Oryctolagus cuniculus: one gene and its partners. The protein of the gene in region 2 interacts with the protein of the main gene of each other region in a pairwise test. Links are inferred from orthologs where the notes say so. Each region holds a gene or a part of one and is shown on either strand. Other genes may lie near its edges.

Region 1 (5,038 bases), on a different chromosome or scaffold from region 2:
TTTTCCTGAAGGTACATATATACTAATTGAGATGAAAAATGTCTTTCTTGGGGCCGGCGCCGTGGCTCACTTGGTTAATCCTCCACCTGCGGCGCCGGCATCCCATATGGGCGCCGGGTTCTAGTCCCGGTTGCTCCTCTTCCAGTACAGCTCTCTGCTGTGGCCCGGGAAGGCAGTGGAGGATGGCCCAAGTGCCTGGGCCCTGCACCCGCATGGGAGACCAGGAGGAAGCACCTGGCTCCTGGCTTCGGATCGGCACAGCGCCAGCCGTAGTGGCCATTTGGGGGGTGAACCAACGTAAGGAAGACCTTTCTCTCTGTCTCTAACTCTACCTGTCAAATAAAAAACATTTTTTTAAATAAAAAAGTCTTTCTTGCGATTTTGACTCTTTGTTAAAAATATTTATCGTTACAATTATGAAAAACGAATTTATCAAGCAGCACAAAGATTGTGCAAATTTTTGCATTACGAATTTTTAATAAGCTAGAAGATTGTGTTCATGGTGCATCGCTGAAATAGACCACGTGTCTTTTGACTTCAGCCAGGTAAGAGACCCAGGCAACTTCACGGCTGTGAATTATTATAAGATGGAGAAAGTCCATTGTGAAGGGGAAGGAAGAGGGAGAACCTCTACCGCAGGCGCTCGCTCTGGGAGCCCAATTTTGGGAAAGCTGAGGATCTGAAACTTAAATCCTCTTTGTCAAGACCCAGTGGTCTTGGCGAGTTTTGTTGCTCAATTTGAAGGCTGTAGGCCTGGACGACTGGCGAGAAGTGACAGGGATTCTCAAAGGAAGCGTCAGGGATGCAAGGCCGCGGGCCTGAGGCAGGAGGCCACCACCCGCGCGTGGGCTTCGCGCTGTCCCCGCAAGCGCGCCTCGGGACGCGGCCCGGCCTCCCCCACGCGAGGCGTCTCCTCCGGCTCCTTCCTCACTCTGTCCTCGGCTCTCCCTGAGGAGCAGGAGACCACCGCGTCTCCCCGCACGCGCGGGGGCCATCGCCCAGCTGCTCCCCCCAGCCCCCGGACCCCACGACAGAGCCTCGAGGGGCCGATGCCGCCGCAGCGTCCAGGCCCCACTCGGAGAACAGCGCAGCGCCGCTCGGGTCCCGCCGGCTTGGACGCTGATTAGTTCTGAGGCGGAGCTCGGAAAGCCAGTCAACAACAACGTAGCGATAGTAATACCACCACCACCACCTTCAGGGAGCGCGGTGCTCGTTTGTACGCATGCGTCGACATTTCCCGGCCGGGGACGTAGCACCTGGAAGTGGAAGCGGCGGCCGGGCAGCGGCGAGGGGCGCAAAGCCCATTAAGCGGTGGAAACCGGTACCTGGGAGATAGGAAAGCAGGACCGGAAGCCTCACTAATTGCCCAGCGGAAGGAAAAGGTTTTATTTCCCCGTTTAGACACGCCTGCCCTTTCCTGAAGCCATGCACAGCCTTGGCGACCCCAGTTCTTCAGCCAGCCTATTCCACTGCCCCCCTCCCACCCCTGGGAAAGGTGGCTCAGTGGTCTCGGCACGCGACTAGCTGGCGGTTGGGCTCGAGGCAGGAAGTTTCTGATTGGCGGAGTCCCAGAAGCACCAGGTGAAAATAGCTCCGCCGGCTGAGGGCCCAAGTCACTGCAGAGCTGGGGCCGTACAACAAAATGGCGGCCCCCAGCAACTTCGGGACGCCCTGAAGGGGCAGGCCCCGCCCCCTACAGGTCAGGGGGAAGGGAGTCGCGGGCTAGGTGGGCGGTACTAGGCACGCTCGGTGGGGCCTTCCGGAAGCAGGAAGGCTGGGCTCCGTACGACAATATGGCCGCGCTTATACGCGTGTAGGCGGAAACTCCGCGGCTTCCGGTCTGTAGTGGGGCCTGCGGTGGGAGGGGGAAGGAAGGCGGAGGGAACCATGCGAGGTTCTGAGATCAGCGGCGAGGGTCGTCTCGTGAGACCGTTTCTGAGGTGCGGGCCGGACTGTGTGGGGAGCGAAAACGGGGGAGGGGATATCGAGGAGGCGGTACTGGGGAGACGCGGGCTCTGAGTCTGAGAGGCATGCTCTGGTACCTTATTCCTGAAGGGAAGTGGGGCGGCTAGGGGTCTGACCTGGGGGAGGGGGACTTGGCGGGAAGCTCATCTACCCTGCCGGCGCGACTCAAGGGTGGGATCCGAGAAGAATCGGGAGAGCCCACTGTAGGTCTCACGATCGGTTACAAGTCACAGAGAGCGACCAGGTAAAATCAGGGTGGGGTGAGAGGGAGGGCTCTTGAGGTGTCATACTCCAACCCAGTGCCCTGGTTTGAAGAAGCCCATCAGAGGGTGAAATACGGAGTTAATAGCAGGAGGGGAAAGGAGAATGGATCGTTGAGAGGACTGTTGGATTGTCTAGGAGTTGGGGTGATCATTAAGGGTGGGGTATGGGTTTGACATGTTTCGGGGTGAAAGGGGCCAGACGTGAGGCAGCCAGAGCGAGTGTGTTTTCCGTGTGTGAGGGTGTCATGGGAATCTGGGAAGCGGGACTGGGGTTGGAAGAACCAACTTGACAACTATGAGAAATAGTGGGGAGATGGAACAGAAAGACCGGAAGCCAATGTGAGAGGTAGAGCTGGGTGTGGCGATTGAATGTTTGCGGTTCCCTGTCCTGGGCCACTTGAAGGGCCCGGGAAGGCATCCAGAGCTAATGGTTGCAGAAGACAGGCAGTGAGGACACTGTTGGGCAGGGCTGGGTGTTGCTGAAACCCACGGAGATTGGAAACTGAGCTGAAGGGAGGGGCTATGCTGGAGGGGCTCTTTCTGAGGCCCCATCCCCTTCCAGCAGGAATTCTGAAACCCCCAACACTTCCTCCCTCCGGGGGATTTGATCCCTCATGGCCACCGCTAACAGCATCATTGTGCTGGATGATGATGACGAAGATGAAGCAGTCGCTCAGCCAGGGCCCTCCCACCCACCCCCCACTCCGGCCTCACCCCAGGCAGAAGCCCCTGGCTCCTCTGAGCCCCATGGGGCCGGAGGAAGCAGTAGTTCTGGCGGCAAGAAATGCTACAAGTTGGAGAATGAGAAGCTGTTTGAAGAGGTGAGCTTTAGGGGAGAAGATTCTTATACCCCAGGGAGGGGGATGGCGCACTGGCTCTCTGGTCCTCTCTCCCCCACTAACTGCACCCCCCCTTCTCTCTCTCAACCCCCTCCCTTGTCTCTTGTCCGCTCTCTTCTTCCCCCGAACCCTCCAGTTCCTTGAACTGTGTAAGACGCAGACAGCGGACCACCCTGAGGTGGTCCCGTTCCTCTCCAGTCGGCAGCAGCGTGCCCACTCTGTGTTTTTGGCCTCAGCCGAGTTCTGCAACATCCTCTCTCGGGTCCTGTCCCGGGCCCGGAGCCGGCCCGCCAAGCTCTACGTCTACATCAACGAGCTCTGCACCGTTCTCAAGGCCCACTCAGCCAAGAAGAAGCTGAACTTCGCTCCTGCTGCCACCGCCTCCAGTGAGCCCTCTGGGAGTAATACTTCTGCAGACCCGGCCTCGGAGCCCGGCAATGCTGAGGCCGCTGTCTCCGAGGCCCCAAGGACCCGTGGCTCCCGCCGGCAGATCCAGCGCCTAGAGCAGCTGCTGGCACTGTACGTGGCGGAGATCCGGAGGCTGCAGGAGAAGGAGCTGGATCTGTCAGAACTGGATGACCCAGACTCCACGTACCTGCAGGAGTCGCGCTTGAAGCGGAAGCTGATCCGCCTCTTTGGGCGACTGTGCGAGCTGAAAGACTGCTCTTCGCTGACCGGCCGGGTCATAGAGCAGCGCATCCCCTACCGCGGCACCCGCTACCCAGAGGTCAACAGGCGCATCGAGCGGCTCATCAACAAGCCAGGCCCCGACACCTTCCCCGACTACGGTGATGTGCTGCGGGCCGTAGAGAAGGCAGCTGTCCGGCACAGCCTCGGCCTCCCGCGCCAGCAGCTCCAGCTCATGGCCCAGGACGCCTTCCGAGATGTGGGCGTCAGGCTACAGGAGCGACGCCATCTCGACCTCATCTACAACTTCGGCTGCCACCTCACGGATGACTACAGGCCAGGTAGCGGGTTAGCGGGGTGCCCGTCGGAGGCAGAGGGGACCGCTCGCCCTCTCTGCCAGGGTGTGGGCTGAGTGCTCTGCTGTCATATCTTCCCATGTAGGCATTGACCCTGCACTGTCAGATCCTGCCTTGGCCCGGCGCCTTCGGGAAAACCGGACCTTGGCCTTGAGCCGCCTAGACGAGGTCATCTCCAAATACGCAATGATGCAAGACAGAAGTGAGGAAGGCGAGAGACAGAAGAGAAGAGCCCGCCTCCCCCAAGGCACCTCTTCCCAGCCTGCAGATTCCCCCACAGCCTCCTTGGATTCTGGTGAGGTGTGGAAGGGACAGCAGCCTTCAGAGAGACCTTGTCCTCCCCCTGCGCTGGCCGCTAGGGGTTCCAGGGTGATGGATGGGGGGGTACAGAGGGAATGCAAGAACCAAACCCCCTGAGGCCAGGGATTCCTTAGAGAAACTCCTTTGTCCTCCAGGGTCCCAGTGGAATGGCTTCCCAGGAGTGCCCTACTACCTCCAAAGCTGAGACAGATGATGAAGAAGATGAGGAAAGTGAGGAGGAGGAGGAAGAGGAGGAGGAGGAAGAGGAGGCCACAGATTCCGAAGAGGAGGAGGATCTGGAGCAGATGCAGGAAGGTCAGGGGGAAGATGAAGAGGAGGAGGAGGAGGAGGAGGAGGGAACAGGTATGTAAGCAGCGTGTCGCCCCGCTGTCAGTGCCTCCTGCGCGCGAGCCGCCCGTGGGAGACCTGGCCCTCGCCCAGCGGCGCTGTCTCCCGTTCTCACAGCAGCCGTCCCCTCTCCTTTTCCAGGTGAGGCTGGAGACAGGAGTCCCGGGCCTCCACCACAGGTCTCCACTGAAAAGAATCCGGAACCCGGCCGAGAGCTCGGCAGGTCTCCCAGGGAGCAGCACAACACAGGACTCAAAGCGCTAGCACCCTCACTGTTGGAAGAGCCCGCGGCCCGCCCCAGCGTGGGTGTGGAAAGGAACGGGGAGCAGCTTGCGGAGGT
Region 2 (5,038 bases):
GCCTAACCCTGGGCGGCCCGGATCGCATCCAGGGTGCCCGAGTTCCAGACCCCACGCCTCCTCTCCCCAGGCAGCCCCTAACAGGTGCTCACGTGGGCGGCCCTGGCTCCTGGCTGCGCCAACCCTAGCTCCTGCAGGCACTGGGGTGAGGGAACCAGCCGCTTCCGATAACATGAAGATATGCAAATATTCCTACGCACGCACAGGCCTCAGGGCCGCACTCACCTCGTGGATGCCGAAGTGGGCGTAGGAGTCAAAGTAGTAGTCTTTGGACGTCATGTCCTCGGCGTTGGGCTTCTCGCTGCCTTCGGCCTGGCCGCAGGACACCTGGCAGGGAGGGGACGGGGCACGGTTAGATCCAGGGGCTCCGCCTCCCCGCCTTTCCCTCAGGAGTGTTACCGAGACCCCCGAATCATAGCCGTGACGGCCCTGGAGTCCCCGCAGCCCCCACAACCTACGATCCCCGTTCGCCACGTCCAGGACCCCCCAGAGCACCGTCCAGGGGAGCGCCCGATGCCGCAGGCCCGCCTACCATCTCTCCAGTCTCTCTGCCCCCGTCTCTAGCTCAGCCCACAGCTGGGGAGGGGAGGGGAAGGGAAGGCAGGACTGGGGCAGACGCGGGGAAGGGCCAGGGGGTTGGAGATGGAGTTAAGGAAGCAGCCACGGAACCGGGGCCAGCAGGGGCCGTGACCCTGGAGGGGTTGGCACTAAGTGTGGCGGGGGCTTCTGGGGAAGCTGGTTTGAAGCCACAGGGACCACCGTGAGGCCTGTGGGAGGGGCCAGCCGTGTGGCGAGAGACTTGTGTGGAGCTGCAGGTGGGGGCGGGTCTCAGAGCGAGACAGACTGATGTGGAGGTGCGGGTGGGGGGCCGGCCGTGTGGGGAGATGGGTTTATGTGCAGGTGCGGGTGGGAGGGGTCTCACAAAAGGATATTTACGTCGTCAAGAGGCGGCTGGAGGCTCATCCCATTAGCCAAGGTGGCTACAAAATTCTAGGAGAGAGTACAGGGAGAGAGGATTAGCTACGGGAGAGGCCAGGGAGGGCCAGTCTCTGGGGAGTGGGATCCCTTCACTTTCCTGCTCCGGGCTGGGCGCTGTGAGGAGGGAGTCAGTGATGGGGCGGTGAGAAAGGGAGGGGAGAAGTGGAGGGAGAAGCGGGGTCTCCTATCCCAGCTGTGGCTGGAGAGATGGCGGCCTGCCCCCACCCCGGCCGAGGACCTGGCGTCCGCCGGGCACACGGGCAGCGCCAGCTGTCCCTCCTGCTCCTTGCCTAATCCCCCCAGATTAGGTGACGCTTCCTCACACCCCATCCCCGGTGCCCTGAATAGCTGGAGCGAGGGGGGCCGGCGGGGTGCGCCCCCAAGGCCTCCCGTGGGGCAGGATTCCAGAAAGAGGGCTGGGCACGCGGCCACCCCCAGCGCCAGCACCCCGGCTCCCGGCTCCCGCCGTGGCTTCAGGAAGCTCCACACAAAACCAGGAAGGGCAGGAGCCGGGAGGCCAGCCCCGCGAGGACGGCCCCACAGGTGGCCCGTCTCGGCCACCCAGACCCTGAAGCCCCCACGCGTGACTTCCGGGAAGTCACTTCCTCCACTCTCCCCAGGAGAGTCAAGGGGGCCCCGCGGGGCAGTGAGTGCTGCACCCCCATCCCGAGAACGCTACGAGGGGTGACAGTCCGCCACACCACACCTCTTCAGAGGGGCCAAGTCACAGGCCACGGCCCACCTGGCTCCAGGCCCTCTCCCCAAATTCTCCCAAGCCAGCGGTATCGAATACCACCCATGCGTGCCCCGTCCCGGGAGGGCTTGCAACCACCCAAACTGGAACCTTCACCCCATGGCTGCACAGGGCCGAAATCTCGCTGCAAACCAGGACCCTCCGTCAGGCCGGGCAAGGTCATCTCCCACGCTCGCACACGCGGGAACCCAGCGGGCACAGCTCACAGCCCGCGCGCGGTGCATTTCTCATCCCATCGCCTTCCCGGCCAACACTCTCCCTCCGCCCACCCTGGAGGGCTCCAACGGGGAGGTGGGCTTGCGGACACGCCCATGAAGAAGGTCCCTCCCACACGCCGAGAACTGGCCACCAGGGGGTGCGCGGCGCCCTATCGGGGAGATCTCCATCTAGGTGCCCCCCCACCGCACAGGGAGGTCACAGGGGCATGACCCATCCCCCAGCTCCCGAAGCCCCGGCCCGGGGAGAGCCCGGGGGCAGAGGAGGAGCTGGGGGGGCGCTGCAATTCTCCATCTCTCTCCCACGCCGCGCGGAGGTCCCTGGCCCCGTGTGCAGGGGGGACCAGCGCCGCCCCCCAAGACTCCTTCCGAGGGGCCGGTCAGCAGGCACACCCCACCCCAGCGCGTGCAACCCGGTCCCCGGGGAGCAGCCCTGGAGGGGCTCTGCGAGGGGGTCGGAGGCTCCCACCGGACCCCCTCCTCCGGGCGGGGGCGGGGCCTTTGTCCCGCACGTGGAGTCCGCCGGGCCACCGGGATCGGCACACCCCCTCCCCACCCACCGCGCCGCAGCCACGTGGGGGCCCGGCCGGAAGCGCCCCCGGCCCTCCTCCACGTGGGAGGGGGGATGAGCCCCTCGGCTCAGCCGGGTATCGAAGGCCCCAGAAAGCGAGGGAACCCCCCAACTCCAGCGATATCCTCAGATCCGGAGCATTCGCCGCTCCCTCCGCGCGGCCAGGGGCCCTTTTAGCCCCACTTCGGCGACTCAGAGCCCCCTCCCCACCGCGGGAGCGTAAAACGCCGACGCCAGGCCGCCCCCATCCCCGGCGGCGCTCCGGGCTCTCACCTCCATGATGCAGTTCGCGGCCTCGGCTGCCGCCATCTTCACCCGCACCTACTCCTCCTCCTCCTCCGGCAGCCGAGACCCCCCCCTTTCTCCTCACTCCCCCGGGACCGCCTTATACCGGAGGGTCGACGACACGCCTACCGCTACCGCGCTAGGAGATTTCATTGGCAACGGCGGCGGCCCGTCTGAAAATACCGTGTAGCAATTGGGTGCCGAAGACGCCCGTCAAAGGCCAGGGCCCTCCCAGTCTGGCGGTCACAGCCCCGCCCCCTTAAGTCGACTGGGATGGGAGAAGCTGCCTGTCCATCTCAAGAACCCCGTCTACTGATTGGACAAAGTTAACCAGGAGTGTCCGCCCAGCACCTCCTCAAAACTTCCCGGCGGTCCTCGCGCTAAGCGGACGTCTTGAAGCAGAGCTGTCCATCAACGAATTGACCCGCCACCTGATCGCTGCTATTGGCTAAGCCGGAAGGTGACGTCACCAGGCCTCTGGCTAGCTCTGGCCGAGCACGGCCCTCAAGGAGAACACGGCAATTGGCCCACGGGGAGCGAGCCAGGCCGGCCTTTCGGCACCAGCGATTGGCTCAGAGGAACTGCCGCTCATCGTCCGTCCGGTGGGTCCTGGCAGCTCGAGGGGAGTCCTGCAGGAGCCGGGGAGCCTGTGCCCGTTCACCCGGGGACAGGAACGGACGCAGCGCGAGGCCCCGAGGCAGGGAGGGCTTGATGGGAGCCAGGCGTGGACGCCTGTCACCCGCGCCCCGTCCTTAACGGCGCCAAGTCTGGGACCCAGCAGCCCCCTCTGGGCCGCCGGGCCTTCGCCACGTCCCGCCTCCTGCCAGGAACGCCCTCCTCCCTTTGTCTGGCCGGCACCCAGCGGTCAGTGCGGGCGTCCGGCCGCTGCCGCCTCCGGGAAGCCCTCCCGGATCTACACGCAGGCACGCAGTGGAGGCTAATGCCGGGCGCTGAGTGCGTGCACCCCGCCGCAGTCCTCGGGCCGGCGCCTTTCCACGCCCCGGCGGGCTTCCCGCCCGGTCCACTCGAGCACAGGGAGGTTCCCTGGATGACCTATCAGCTCGCCTCCCGCTCTCCAGGGCTCCCCGCGTCCGAGCACCGGGCCCCCGCCCCTGCCTCCCACCCGCTCCCTAGCACCCCCGAGGGCAGAGGCGGAGAGCGCGAGCGAGCACACTCCCACTGCCTGGGTCTCCGCCCCAGATGTCCCACAAAGGCCAGGCCCAGAAGCTGGGCGCCTGGAGCTCCGTCCCGGCCTCCCACGTGGGTGGGGGGCCCAGCTGCTGCGGTTTAGTAGGGACCTGGAGCTGGAGCCAGGCATAGAGGGCGGGATGTAGGGGCCTCGTCGGTTAGGCTGAAAGCCCGCCCCTCAGATTTAAATGAATGTAGCCCCTCCCCCAGCACGCCATTGCTTAGAGGGAGAATCGCTCGGGGAGGGGGGGGGCAAGGCGGTGTTTCCATCTCAGAAAGTAGAATGGAAACATTTGGGGTTCTGCTAAGCCAGTTTTATTCGAGGTGCAGGTCACGGACATTACACGCACCCAGTTTAGTTTGGTGAAACCGCTTACGTAGGTGGCAGGTGGGTGCGGAGGGCTGCGCTGGGCCAGGCCAGACCCCACCCGGGTCTCCCAGGCCATCCTGCAGGGAGCTTGACATGGGGAGGCGGCCCCACCCGCTACGCCACAGCGCCAGCCCCTGTGGCAGGCCTGTTTGGGCCTGGCGGGCCCAGACGAGCCTGGAGAAGTCCACGTGGGTCTCCCAGGGGGTGGCAGGGACCTGGGTGTCCGGGTCACTGCCCCAGCATGCATGCAGAGCTGGATAAAGTAGAGGAGCTGGGACTTGAGCTGGCACTCCGGAAAGTTCTGGCAGGAGGCACCCCTTGTGCACCCCGCCACCATCAGCGGGCACTTTGCACGCGCCCGCCCCTGGGAGCCAGCACCTGGGTTTTCCCGAGGGCGCCGCACAGCCTTCCAGGCCGGAAGTCGAGCTCACCCCCGGAAGAAACAAAGTTGAAAACGCAGGACACAAAGTAGCGGCTGCAGGCCCGACACAAAGTGCCCGCTTGCGGCCCCCAGGCCCCGCCCTCCCCGGGAACCCAGCTCTGCTCTGGGAAATCGGCTTGGCCACCAGGGAGCTCCAGACCGCACTGTGCCGGAAGCCCAGGCTTTGACACATTCTGGGGCGGGCGCTGGCCCGAAAATAGCCGGAAAGCCACTGCCCTACAGGTAGAGGAGAAAC
Region 3 (4,938 bases), on a different chromosome or scaffold from region 2:
CAGCAAGTATGCATGTGCTACGGCACACCCACAGAATGGAATATTATGCAGCCACAGTAACTAGGATGAGCTCTATGGGCTGATATAGAGATTGCTAGGATACACTATCGGTAAGACACATTTCCCCCCATTTTTGTATCTCTGAAATGGGAGTAAAAATTTACAGTCAATATGGTAAGCAAGCTTTGTGCCACACTATTGGCAACACTTTATACTTTTTAAAAATATTTATTTATTTATGCATTTATTTGAAAGAGTTACAGAGAGAGGAAGACACATACACACAGAGAAAAAGAGAAAGAGAGACAGAATGAATCTTCCCTCTGCTGGTTCACTTCCCAGATGGCTACAATGGCTGGAGCTGGACCAGGCTGAAGGCAGGAGCTTCTACAGGGTTCCCACTTGGCGGAGAAACAGAATAACAAAGCAAATAGAGATGTGTGAATATGGGCTGGCACGTGGCACAGTAGGTTAAGCCACCACTTGCAGTGTCAACATCCCACTCCCAATCCAGCTCCTTGCTAATGTGACTGGGAAAGCAGCTGAGGATGGTCCAAGTCCTAGGGGCCCTGCATCCAAGAAGGAGATCCAGAACTCCAGGCTCCTAGTTTTGGACAGGCCCAGCTCCAGCCACTGCGGACATTTGGGGAGTGAACCAGCAAATGAAAGATTTCTATCTCTCCCTCTCTCTCTGTAACTGACTTTCAAATAAATAAATAAATAAATCTTTTTAAAAAAAGTGAATATAGTGAGTTACCAACAACCATCCATGGAAGAATTAAGGACAGGAGAAGTGGGAACTCCATTGTCTATATATTTCTATATAATTTATGATTTTTTAAGTAAGCACATATATTACTTACTCAAACAAAAAATTAATATAGCTACTGAACACACTGTTGCCTCAAAGGGCTATATGAATAAAAAGAATTTAGGGAGAGTATTAATTCAAAGAGGGTGAGGACTGATACTTTTCACCTCTACTCCCTCCCCTTTTTCTCAACACTGTCAAACTGAGGGAGGTCTAGTCTAAATATCAATCTCCCCAACACTGATTTTTCACCTCAAACAACAACATCGATCTTTTATTCTTTTCTGTGAAGAAACCACAACCTACCATCTAAAAGTTACTTGATAGAATTGTTTAAAATATTTAACAGAAGGGGCCAGTGCAGTGGCGTAGCAGGTAAAGCCACTGCCTGCAGTGCTGGCATCGCATATGGGCAATGGTTCAAGTCCTGGCTGCTCCACTTCGGATCCAGTTCTCTGCCATGGCCTGGGAAAGCAGCAGAAGATGGCCCAAGTCCGCTTAAGTCCAGGTCTCTGTATCTTTGCCTTCCAAATAAATAAATAAATCTTTAAAAAAAAAATACAGGAAAAGTCTCTTTAGGCTCTTAGGTTCTTTCTTTTGTTTTTTCGATTTTAATGCCTGATGCAACCATTTTTTTTTAAAGATTTATTTATTTATTTGAAAGGCAGAGTTACAGAGAGGCAAACACAGAGAGAGAGAGGTTTTCCACCCACTGGTTCACTACCCAAATGGCCACAACGGCTGGAGCTGGGCCGATCTGAAGCCAAGAGCCAGGAGCTTCTTCTGGGTCTCCCATGCGGTGCAGGGGGCCCAAAGACTGGGCCCCTGAAGTTCTTAATGATTATAAAACTAACCCAAATTGGCAAAAGATTCTTCAATGAACACTGCTAAGAGTGAAAAGTGGAAGTTTTAATGAGCAAACAAACAGCAGAATAAAATTTTGAGATTTTCTAACCCTAAAAATGATTTAAGATAAAACTATATGAAAGGTTACCAGCAGCATGTAAAAAGTTTTGATAAGCAAATTATTAGCTATATTTTAGGTTTCCAGATTTTATAATACATCTAAATTGCTATTTTTAGATTTTCTCAAGTAGAAAAAACAAATAGGCTACATTTAGTTTCTACAGATAGATTCAAAGTTGTAGTGGATCATAACATATTTATCTAACCCCAATAAAATAAACAAAATCTAAGTTGAGTAGATTGTCCCAAGCCATAATTATATTAGGAGAAGAAACAGCTGGAATTAAGCTAATAAAAACCAGAAATAAAAAAAAAATTAGGGATATATTCTCACCTCCTTTCCTAGTCGCTCATCTACTCAAACAATATGATAAAAGATACATTTGAATGGCACTTCTGAGAGCCTCTCTGGTTCATTCTCAATGGATTTTTTTCTGCATAATTCAAAGCTGTTTTTGCCTACAAAGACTATATCATACTAGTATAAACCGGAGTCCATCTCCAAACTAGTGACAACTTGCCTCCTCAAAACCTAGAATAAAAAGCTTAAGGAAAGGAATTCTCAGTCAAGAAGAATCCAATCAGTTATCACAGCCATCAGAGTTGATGCCTCCCTAAGGAGAGAGGAGACGTAACTGAAAGAGTCAAGAACCCAACACAAACAGCAGATTCAACCGATGTGTCCCTTGAACCCTAGAAGTCATCCAAAAGAAAACATAAAAACCAGGATTCGCGGCACCACCATTTGACAGGTAAAATCCTGGCAACACAAGCATAGGAGGTAGGAAGAAACTGACAGCAGGAATTGTCATGTATATTTTGCCACTATCAATTAATAGCAAACACAACAATCCTTTGCCTTTCTTCATGGGGCTCAATACTCTAAGGGAAATTGAAAGAAAAATTAGCTATAAATCTAAATAAAAGAATTCAAAGCCACATAATAAAAGTTGCAGTACAGTCAGTAAAGACTTTAGTTTATAAACTCCAAAACATTACTTCTCTCTTTACTCAACAAGACCTCATCTTAAAAGTCTGTATCCTTATGTGTGCATAACACTATGTGGGATACAGAAAATAGTGGTATGAAATACTTTCAATTGAAGGGATTTTATTTCATTTCCTCTTACACATTTAATCTGCAGGAAAAGGGATGATTAATGGAAATTATTACAGGACACCAAGACAGTCTGTAGCCTCAGTGTTAAATCAGTTCGTGACTAAACAGCTAAAAGATAATAGCTACAATTTGTATTTAATCAGAAAACTCAAAATATTTGAGCTTTATTATTAGTACAAAATTGAAATGATATCCCTACCCCCACCCCAAGTAATTGCATTTACCTTAGCCATGACTTCTGGATCTGGTTCTTCCACAGGGTCAGCCCATTCAACTGTAACTACATTTCCCCATACTTTTACTTTTCCACTCATTAGCCGACGTCTGGCTTGTGCTGCAGACTTGTGATCCTCATATTCAAGGAAGCAGAACCCCCGATTCTTCTTTTTGTCATCGGGTTGATGATAGAGAATAACGTCCACCAAACCCTCTGTTAAACCAACAGCCAGATATATAAGCCAAAAGCATCCACCACACACCTAACGATCAGGCAGACCTAAACCCATTTGCCGACAAAAATTAATCGAAGAAACCTCAAAATGAGTCACTTGTTACCTAGTAGACAATTAGATCAGCATAATTTGATACAGTGTGGCACAGTATTTTACATTCCCCTCTAATTTTAGGGGCCTAACGGTACAGCCATATGTAACAGGTCTAATCACTGGTATATTTAAAGTTCTACAATATTTTACAATATTTGATATAACTTAGCCTCATAATTTAAATATTATTTTAAGACCCTAAAAACAAATTTAATATAAACCCAAGAGAACTAACTTTTAATAACAAATCAGTTACAAAAATCTTAAATTAAACCTAACTTAAAAATTACTATTTTCACTAGAAATGAAGGTGGTCACTAACTACTGGCGTCCCGCTGATATCAGTCCTTTGCCTTATCGCTTCATGTGTATTTTCCAGATAATATCATTCAGGTGTGCTTTTAGATACTATGTATATCATTATAAACGCCAGATGTGTTTGCTTACCATGTCCCCTTATGACACTTCCAACACCACAAGCCAAATCACACCACCATGCCCCAAATCTGTCTTTCCTAGTATCTTCCAATCTAGTAAACAGTGCCATCTACTTGGCTCTCAAGCCAAAAATTGATGAGGTATTCTTGATTTCTTCCTTTGCTTCATCTCTATCCAGTTCCCAACTCATTTCTTTTGCTTTCCACGGCTAATATCTTTGTCCAGTCTTCTATCTGAACTACCAACAGCCTCAACTAATTTATCAGCTTCTATTCTTGATTCTCTCTCCAAACCTTTATCCACATAGCAGCAGAATAACATTCTGCAAACATGAAACAGATGTTATTCCCTGCTTAAGACCTTTGAATGCCTTTCTCATAATCTCTGGAATAAAATCCAATCTCTTTACATGGTCCACAAAAACTCTGCCTTTTTACCTCATGTGATTCTACTCTTATTTTACCTCTTAACAACACATTTCTCTCAGTTACATTAATATACTGAGTTCTTTCTTGCCTTGGAGACTTGGCATGTGCCACTCTCTTGGAATGGAGCCCCCTTTTTTTTTTTTTTTAAACAGGCAGAGTGGACAGTGAGAAAGAGAGACAGAGAGAAAGGTCTTCCTTTGCCATTGGTTCACCCTCCAATGGCCGCCACGGCCAGTGCATCGCACTGATCCGAAGGCAGGAGCCAGGTGCTTCTCCTGGTCTCCCATGGGGTGCAGGGCCCAAGTACTTGGGCCATCCTCCACTGCACTCCCTGGCCACAGCAGAGAGCTGGCCTGGAAGAGGGGCAACTGGGACTAGAACCCAGTGTGCTGGTGCCGCTAGGCGGAGGATTAGCTTATTGAGCCGCAGCGCCAGCCGCCCCTTTTGCTTTTGGTATACTACATCTTCATCACTTAGGTCTTGGTTCAAACATCACCTTATTAGTAAACCATGGATAGTAGCTATTTTCTAGTTAAATATCCTATGTTTTCCCTTCCACAGTGCTTTATGACAATGTGCAAATATTTATTTAATTTTGGGGTTATAGCTCCTTTTCCAGAATGTAGGTTC

Evidence for each region.
Region 1: the proteins of PRMT1 (region 2) and DAXX interact in a two-hybrid assay, tested with the Homo sapiens proteins (2 studies listed by BioGRID and IntAct). The link is inferred for Oryctolagus cuniculus from reciprocal best matches to the Homo sapiens genes PRMT1 and DAXX.
Region 3: the proteins of PRMT1 (region 2) and HNRNPR interact in binary tests that used the Homo sapiens proteins (3 or more experiments, as listed by UniProt). The link is inferred for Oryctolagus cuniculus from reciprocal best matches to the Homo sapiens genes PRMT1 and HNRNPR.

The regions. Positions count from the first base shown.
Region 1 is NC_091436.1:135,802,916-135,807,953, forward strand, and holds the start of DAXX (death domain-associated protein 6), read left to right. Parts: upstream 1-1,442; 5' UTR 1,443-1,581; exon of another isoform or gene 1,582-1,699; intron 1,700-1,806; exon of another isoform or gene 1,807-1,940; intron 1,941-2,072; exon of another isoform or gene 2,073-2,209; intron 2,210-2,790; 5' UTR 2,791-2,842; coding exon 2,843-3,049; intron 3,050-3,203; coding exon 3,204-4,035; intron 4,036-4,135; coding exon 4,136-4,350; intron 4,351-4,505; coding exon 4,506-4,713; intron 4,714-4,839; coding exon 4,840-5,038. UniProt on the Homo sapiens protein: Transcription corepressor known to repress transcriptional potential of several sumoylated transcription factors. Down-regulates basal and activated transcription.
Region 2 is NC_091449.1:7,829,345-7,834,382, forward strand, and holds the start of PRMT1 (protein arginine N-methyltransferase 1), read right to left. Parts: upstream 2,907-5,038; 5' UTR 2,828-2,906; coding exon 2,792-2,827; intron 2,001-2,791; exon of another isoform or gene 1,829-2,000; intron 991-1,828; coding exon 937-990; exon of another isoform or gene 933-936; intron 636-932; exon of another isoform or gene 536-635; coding exon of another isoform or gene 533-535; intron 328-532; coding exon 226-327; intron 1-225. UniProt on the Homo sapiens protein: Arginine methyltransferase that methylates (mono and asymmetric dimethylation) the guanidino nitrogens of arginyl residues present in proteins such as ESR1, histone H2, H3 and H4, FMR1, ILF3, HNRNPA1, HNRNPD, NFATC2IP, SUPT5H, TAF15, EWS, HABP4, SERBP1, RBM15, FOXO1, CHTOP, MAP3K5/ASK1, MICU1 and NPRL2.
Region 3 is NC_091438.1:147,602,003-147,606,940, reverse strand, and holds part of HNRNPR (heterogeneous nuclear ribonucleoprotein R), read right to left. Parts: intron 3,338-4,938; coding exon 3,122-3,337; intron 1-3,121. UniProt on the Homo sapiens protein: Component of ribonucleosomes, which are complexes of at least 20 other different heterogeneous nuclear ribonucleoproteins (hnRNP). hnRNP play an important role in processing of precursor mRNA in the nucleus.